Linked DNA regions of Oryzias latipes. The protein of the gene in region 2 interacts with the protein of the main gene of each other region in a pairwise test. Links are inferred from orthologs where the notes say so. Each region holds a gene or a part of one and is shown on either strand. Other genes may lie near its edges.

What was found.
Region 1: the proteins of rxra (region 2) and nr0b2 interact in a two-hybrid assay, tested with the Homo sapiens proteins (2 studies listed by BioGRID and IntAct). The link is inferred for Oryzias latipes from reciprocal best matches to the Homo sapiens genes RXRA and NR0B2.

Annotation. Positions count from the first base shown.
Region 1 is NC_019874.2:9,914,874-9,918,343, reverse strand, and holds nr0b2 (nuclear receptor subfamily 0 group B member 2), read right to left. Parts: upstream 2,077-3,470; 5' UTR 2,075-2,076; coding exon 1,474-2,074; intron 1,393-1,473; coding exon 1,151-1,392; 3' UTR 504-1,150; downstream 1-503. UniProt on the Homo sapiens protein: Transcriptional regulator that acts as a negative regulator of receptor-dependent signaling pathways. Specifically inhibits transactivation of the nuclear receptor with which it interacts.
Region 2 is NC_019870.2:22,893,985-22,897,979, forward strand, and holds the start of rxra (retinoic acid receptor RXR-alpha), read left to right. Parts: upstream 1-1,188; 5' UTR 1,189-1,474; coding exon 1,475-1,502; intron 1,503-3,995. UniProt on the Homo sapiens protein: Receptor for retinoic acid that acts as a transcription factor.

The sequences.
Region 1 (3,470 bases), on a different chromosome or scaffold from region 2:
TCTGTTTGGCCAAACAAATATTTATCAGTGAAAGTATAATGCAAAATGCTGCTACATGTATTTGCTCAGGGTCTGTTTTATAATTGCTGGAACAGAATAAACAGTTGTAGTTCAGCTTGAGAAACTACTATAAAAGGCAATCCCTCTCACACAGTCTTGAAGGGATAAGACTTCAATTAAAAAGATGGAAACGCAGGAAAAAAGTGGAGATTTTCCACCACCAGCTCTTTTTTTTTTTTTTTTTTTAAATGTTTTGTTTGTGCTGTGTTACCCCATTTCCCCTGGCTCACTGCCCCCACCATCAGCATTCCTGTTTTACCTGTATATGGTGTCAAGTAAAGAGAGACTGTTTCACAACCATCATACCACAGAATGGATGAATGTGAACAGCTTCTGTGGGGATTTTTGCATGAAGATTGTTAAGACAATACTGCTTTGTTGGCTTGGATTTACCCTTTTCTTCTCAGCGTATCATAAGATTGTAAAATAAGGTTGAAATGGGATCGAGGATCTTTCTTTTTATTTGCTTGTGGATGTGTTTTCCAATAGAGGGAGACAAAGCTTCGGAATGAACAAGAAATATTATTCTGTGACACATTCCTGTCATCATTTTTGAAAAAGAAAGAGCTCTTGTGGATAAATATCCACGTTCACCAACAAGATCCAACTGCAACTAAGAAATTTGTCAATCTGAGTTTAGCAACATCTTGACTCAATAATATGCGTTTAACAGCTGAATTTGTCAGATTAAGTGTGACAGTGGCATTGGCTTGGTGTGAGTCAAGAGCGTGAGGCTGTAATTTGTCATTTGTGTACAAAAATATATTTATTTGAAGTTTCCTGTAAAAGCAAAAGACACATATTTACAACAATGAAATAACAGAAAAGATTGACAAAATCAAATATTCTAATAGAAAGAGACAAGTCTGCCACTGTGTGAAAATCCTTCTACTTAGGGGAAGGAAATCTGTTGACACAGAGATAAAGTGACCTCAGCTTTGCGTGAATGTGAGCAATCATGGTGGCTTGTTCATCAAATCTACATTTTTTTTGTGGGGTTTTATAATCTGCTTCACAGCAGCCGTCCAACATTCCTTTCCCAGCCTGGGTGTCATGTGGTTTAAAGTCCCTCAGCTGAGGTCCACTGTTCTTATCTGTAAAAGAGCATGTCGACCAGCAGCTCCAGCAGGTCAGCCTGGCCTATGACGGGCCGGAAGAAGAGCTCGGTGACGAGGGTGGGTGTGATGCCCTGCAGCATGGAAGCTGTGAGCAGGATTCGAGCGAAGCGCTCCTCGCGACCCGGGTGAAGGAGCTGCACCACCTCCCTCAGGGCGTGCTGAGCTTCCTGCTGCAAGCCCTCCACAAACAATCCAGCCTTTAATTCCGGAACGTCTGTGGACGAGGAAAACGAGTAAAGTCAGTTAACGCACACACACATACTTCATCCTTTTACTGAATCCAGCACCTTCGTACCTGGATTGAATATCGTGGTTCCCTTCAGGTATGCATACTCCTTTGGGCTTAAATCCAAACTCCAAAACTTTTTGAGGCAAGACTTGAGTTTGCTGACGCCTGCCATGGTGGGCTGCTCCCTTTTAGCCTCGGGGCTCTCCTGGCGGTTCAGAAGAATCTTTTTCAGCATGCTGTCAGCGGGGGCATCTGTAACCTCAAAGTCCACATGTTCTTGAGCCAGCCCCAGAATAAAGAGGGGAGCCCAGCAGCTTCTCAACAGCGCAAACTGATCACTCAGTGGCAGCTGGTTGAACGCAGGCAGGCTCTTAATGAAGTGGACGGTTTTAACCAGAACTGCTGAGGCTTCTTTGCAGATCTCACTTGGACTTTTTAAGCACAGTGTCCGGCGCACCTCGCAGTTGCACCTGTGAGGCACTGAGATGTAGTTGAGGCAGTCTTGGCTCTGCATGCTGCTGTCCATTTGGCTCAGGATGTTGTAGAGGATGGGATTCAAAACCCTATCATTGTTGGTTAAGCAATGGCATCTGCTATCCATCTTTTTCCCCCCGATGACATATAATGGTGATGAATGCGTGCGTCCTCTCACAGATAGACTCCTCATGAGCTCCTGAGTGGTGCTGCTGCCTCTTCTATATTTATAGGGCCAACCCCCCTCCGTTCAGTGGACCTTGAAATGTCAATACACTCGATGTGAAAAACAACCGCTCGCTTTGCCAGGTGACTGCTGGAACAACCCTGGGAAACTGATAAGATTTTCTCAATGAAAGTAGCTGCTGGAGTAACACATATCAAAAAGGATGGGCCTTATCTGCCAGCAAGTGTCATTAACCCAGGCTGTACCAAGCTACCAAGGACTGCAGTGGTAATCCAACCCACACTGTGTCACTACACCTGCCAGATCACACCTGTGAAACTGGAACAAGGCCAGGGCACAAAGAGGGCATTGACCCCTGACTTAAATCCTCAAAAGTACAGTGTCATTTCAGTCAGTGGTAAAACTAGACAATATGGGAGAAAATTTTGAGAAAATTCTACGTATTGGCTTTTAAACTAAAAGAGAAATAAAAAAGAAGCTACTCTAAACTATTTTTAAGGGGCCTTCATCATGCTTTTATTGAGCCTTCCAGAGTGAACTATATCCATATATGTGATATATATTCTTTTGGCCCTAAAGAACGTTTTTATTATGAAATATGAGTTATTTTCACAATTCATTTCATACCCGGAAGTAGAATGACTCGATCTCTGAGGCACCGGCTTTCTCTCCTGGTGGGTCCGCCCGTTTCATGATGTCAACTTAGAGTCAGCCACAGCAGCGTGTCTGCGTTTTTCCCTCGAAAACAAACAATATCCGAACTTTTGCAAAGATGAATGTGCATAGAAACAGAATAAGCTAGAGAAAGTGGATGTGTGTTACCCTGGGGTTGGGGCTGCAGCGCAGACTCTGGAAGGGGCTGTTCCTCACTTTGAGACGTCACAATGTGAGGACCCACTCGTTGTTGTGGGTTGGGAGGGGCTGGTGCTCAGAGCACAGGTTTTTAGAGGAATGCTCAGAAATGCATGAATGGATCAAAATACCCCTTTGGGGTTGTTTACAGTGAGGAATGAAAATTACAATACACTTAAAGCTCAAAAAAGTTGATTTTGGATGATATAAGAACCCTTTGAAATTCCACAAATAAAAAGAAACAGACTGGTTAAAAATGACGAACTCTTGACATGAAATTCAACAAAATCTCAAATCACAGTTGCTTTGGGTCAATAGGTTGAATACTTGCCCAACAAACCTTGGACAAATATAGAAGTGCTGTGTCCTGTGAGTCATTTAAGGTTGTGTTTCTAAACCCGGTACTTGGGACACACTGTATTTTTTCAATCTTACCCGGCTCAAACTCAAATGCCTTAGGATAAATTATTTGCTTTTAATCTGGACATAAGTTTTAAAGCAATATTGTTTGAGACTTGTTCTGTAGCTCACTCAAATGAAAACAAGCTGC
Region 2 (3,995 bases):
CATTAGGCCAACGGGTCACTACATCCTGGACAGGTCACAGTGCAGGCCACCTCAGAACCAACGACAAAAGTAAACAAACAGCCACACATACCCACACTGTATCAGTATAAGTGTGTCGATCATAAATGTGCCAAGCTTGTAATCCTTTGAAAAATGTAACTGATATTTCTTTTTTGTTGAACCTTAGGGGGGAAGACAGTAACCTGATAAAACAGTCCATACTCGTGCAAGGCGTCACTATTATCCAAGTTGGTATAAGCTTTGGAATACTATACAAATGACCCAACTGTTCTTATCTGTGAGTATTACCTTTGCAAAGTGAGCAATGAATATATCATTTTGTTTTGTAGTGTTCCTGCACCCAGTTTCACTGAAGCTGTTTTGAATAGCAGATAGTAGATCAGATTCAAATGTTATCAAAACAGACATGTTGTGACATATGTTTTTATGATCTGGGATCTTCTGGAGAAAAAAAAAAAAAAAGGTTGGACTTAGGGCAGAATTTGGCCAGCCAACCCACGAGGAATAAGTAGAATATCGGGGCAAGTCTGTGTGGAAATCATGCTATCATCACATCGGTTCAACTATCCATATATATATAGACTATTTTGATCTATTTCATACGGTTTTTGTTGAAGTTCTTCTCACAGGACCTTCTGCATTTGCTTGGCTTAGGCCTGGCACAAGTCTGTCTATTTGACCATCTTTCTGTACATCCACCCTTGTGTTTTATTGTCTTTTATTTTATTTAGATAGATTTTTTGTCTGTTTTGTGTGGGTTTTTTTGTAAATTTTATTTGTTATTATATGATATTCTTAAATATATAATATTTCTTGATATACATACATTTATACATACATCTTTCTGGGGGGGACAGTAACTCCGTTTAGGGGGGGCATTAACCCCCTTCCCCCGTCCATACCTATGTCCGGGCTTGGATGGACTCATCTTAGATAAGAGGGGAGGCAGTTAAAAAGTCTATCTGTTAAGCTAATAGCGCAGCTGTAACACGTGTGACCAGGTTAAAACAACAGAAGATAAAAAGAAGGAAGGAGTTGAAGGGATTTTTTGGCGAGAAGCTGCGCATTTCTGTGAATGTGTTTGGATTTCTGAAGTTCTCAGCGAGCCTCACATCTGTGTTTGTCGTGTCGCTGCGGGCCTGTGCGCGTTGGTGGGAGTACCCCCTGCGCAGGTCCCCTTCGCTGTGCACTTCCAGCAGTTGGAGTTGTTCTACACCCGAGAGAGGGGGAGGCAGCAGAGGAGTGAGCGCAGCAGCTGAGTGAGCAAACACAAGTAGAAACATTAGGTTATCTTCTGACACTATCAGCCATCGACCTGTCACTTTTATCGCTCCGTGAAGCTCCAGAGCGGTAGCGGCGGCGGCTCCTTGGTCTGGTTTGTTCTGCTCGAGCAGTGAGACAAACTCCCGAACGCGGTCGTCTCAGCTGGCATGAGCTAACCTACGAGTCCGACATGGAAACCAAACCGTTCCTGTCATTGGGTAAGTTACTTTGTTTCTTACAGACCTACTTAATGCCGAAGAAAAGACAGCGAGAAACGTGCTGGGGCTCAGGGTTTTCGCTTCGTGGTTTCTTTCTTTCTTTTTTTCTTGACAGCGCGTGGAGCGACTTGCCAAACCCCATCAACACGTTTGTTGCTGCCGCTGCTGCTTTGTGTAATTTGCCCTCTCTTTAACTTCTAATTTATCCCTTTATCGAAACGGACAGATGTGCGGGTCTCGTGCTTTTTAATTGAGCTGGTGACATTTCACTTCGACGCGGAGTGACAGCGCTCGCGGCGTGGCGCGCGCGCACCTCGCGGCTCGTTTAACTTTTACACTTTGGTTAAGTGTTGAGAGATTTTGTGTTTTAATGCTAAAAAAACAAAACAAAAAAACCTCGAAGCTAAACTTAATTTTCTTGTGCCTGTTTATACCAACCGAACTTCTAAGAACAAAGGGAGATTAACTTTACATCGTGACTTTAAAATGTTTCCTCTTGAGGATATGTGATTTTTTTACATTAAACATACAACAAAATTACAAGCCTTTTTTATTTGATATCATTTTTGTTATTGATAATTTTAACTTCATTTCTTTTTTATTTATTATTTGCTTACTTGGCATATAATAATTTGTCAATATTGCACAAACTTGTAAATTGCACCCAAAAGTGACCTCATGCGTTGTTGCTTGACTTAAAGTCTGCTGTTGGGGATAATCTCACTTCAGTTGCTGACAGGTGACCTATGGTCATTGCGCAAGACTTTCATTTTTGATTTTCTTTTTACATTTAAATATATTAATGAATTAATCTTAAGGAAACCCACTGTTTTGTTGAAGCTGAACCTGCAAGAAGGGGGGATTTCAATTGTCAAATTGGAGATTTTTAGCATGCTTTTTGATTTTTCTGAGTTACAAAATTCTTTTTTATTAGATATGTATTACTTCTTATAACTCATTTCTGGGATTAATTCTGAAATCTAGTCTTGTTGAAGTTAAAAGCAGTTTAAATACACTAAAGCACTTCAAACTGTAAATCATTAATGCTGACTGCTACTGTAAGTTTGTGAACAGAGCAGACCCTTGTCCTCCGCAGCAGAGACAAGCGCAGGGCTGTAGGTTTCCCCCCGCCTTATTGTGTCTGCGGCTCTTTCATGGAGGCGTCATGTTACACCTCGACACATATCATCAGCTGCATGAACACACCGAGGAGATTCACAGGGACTTCTGAGACTCGGGGTGGCTGTCTTAGGTTACAGGCGCTGCTCGCTGACTCAGTCCCACAACACCCTTTATGTGGCTTCACAGAAATACACTCAACCACCTGCACTGCACACACTGACAGGCTGTTGTTACAGGTGCAACACATTGTATTTCAGACTGCGCACATTAGGGGTGTATCAACTTAATCGATGAATCAATCCTACGATCCAACCAGATCAATCTTTTTGAAGGAAGTCGTTAGTTGTATCGACCTTTACCCTCATACTGTAATTTTTAAAGACAAAAATCGATTATATCGATATTGGAAAATACCATTTCGATTGAGACATGGTAGGTTTATTTTACTACAACGTAAAAACGACCGAATGCATCAGAGCAGACAATGCACACGTGATGGCAGCAAAAACTTGTCAAGCCATCGTTACAGTCCAATGTGTGGAAACACTTTGAATTTAGCAAAGACATGTGACATAACATTGTGGTTTAATGCTCTAATAATGTTCCCTTTGGACTATTTTAATGTGGTAAAACAGCAGTGGGCTCAACTTAATTAAATTAAACTGTGAATGGATTTGACATTGATTCTTGTTTACTTGATTGTTTGTACACATATTTAATTTACACTTGATTATCTTGCATGTAATATAAGGAATCTAGAAAACTTCACCTGGACTGTTCAGTACCCGTATTTATCTCAGAGTCCTACTGGTTGAAGTTCTGACGGAAAATGTTCTGGATTGATTTCAGATCAGTGAATTGGACTGTTTAAAATGAACCAGTATCGACTATGAATTGAAACTGCAACAACAAATTACGATATAGATCAAATTGTTTTTAAAATGAATTTTTACACCCCTAATATTTAAACTTGTACCCTTAAAGGACAGTTTGAGTGGCAGGCTCTAATTGGTTGTTTTAAGGGCGCAGCCATGCGTGAAGACCTTGAATTTATTGATTACTGCTTACTCAGTGTCATTTCCTAATGTGGCGTTGCATTAGGAATTCTGACATGGATCTGTTTGAGATGACATTACAACTATAGACCGCGTGCTGGCTTTGATGACGACACCTCCCATCCAGCACCGCTGGCTCAGGACTGTGTACTGCCTGCCTGATGCCATCATCGAGCACCCCCCCCCCTTTCATATCGGACATTAAGGCATGAAGACCAGAGGAATGACACTGAAAGGAGAATGTGTCCTTTAGTCACAGCATTATGGGGAGGATCATGACAGTTTGTCAGTGAAATGAACAGTGTGAAAGGAAGAA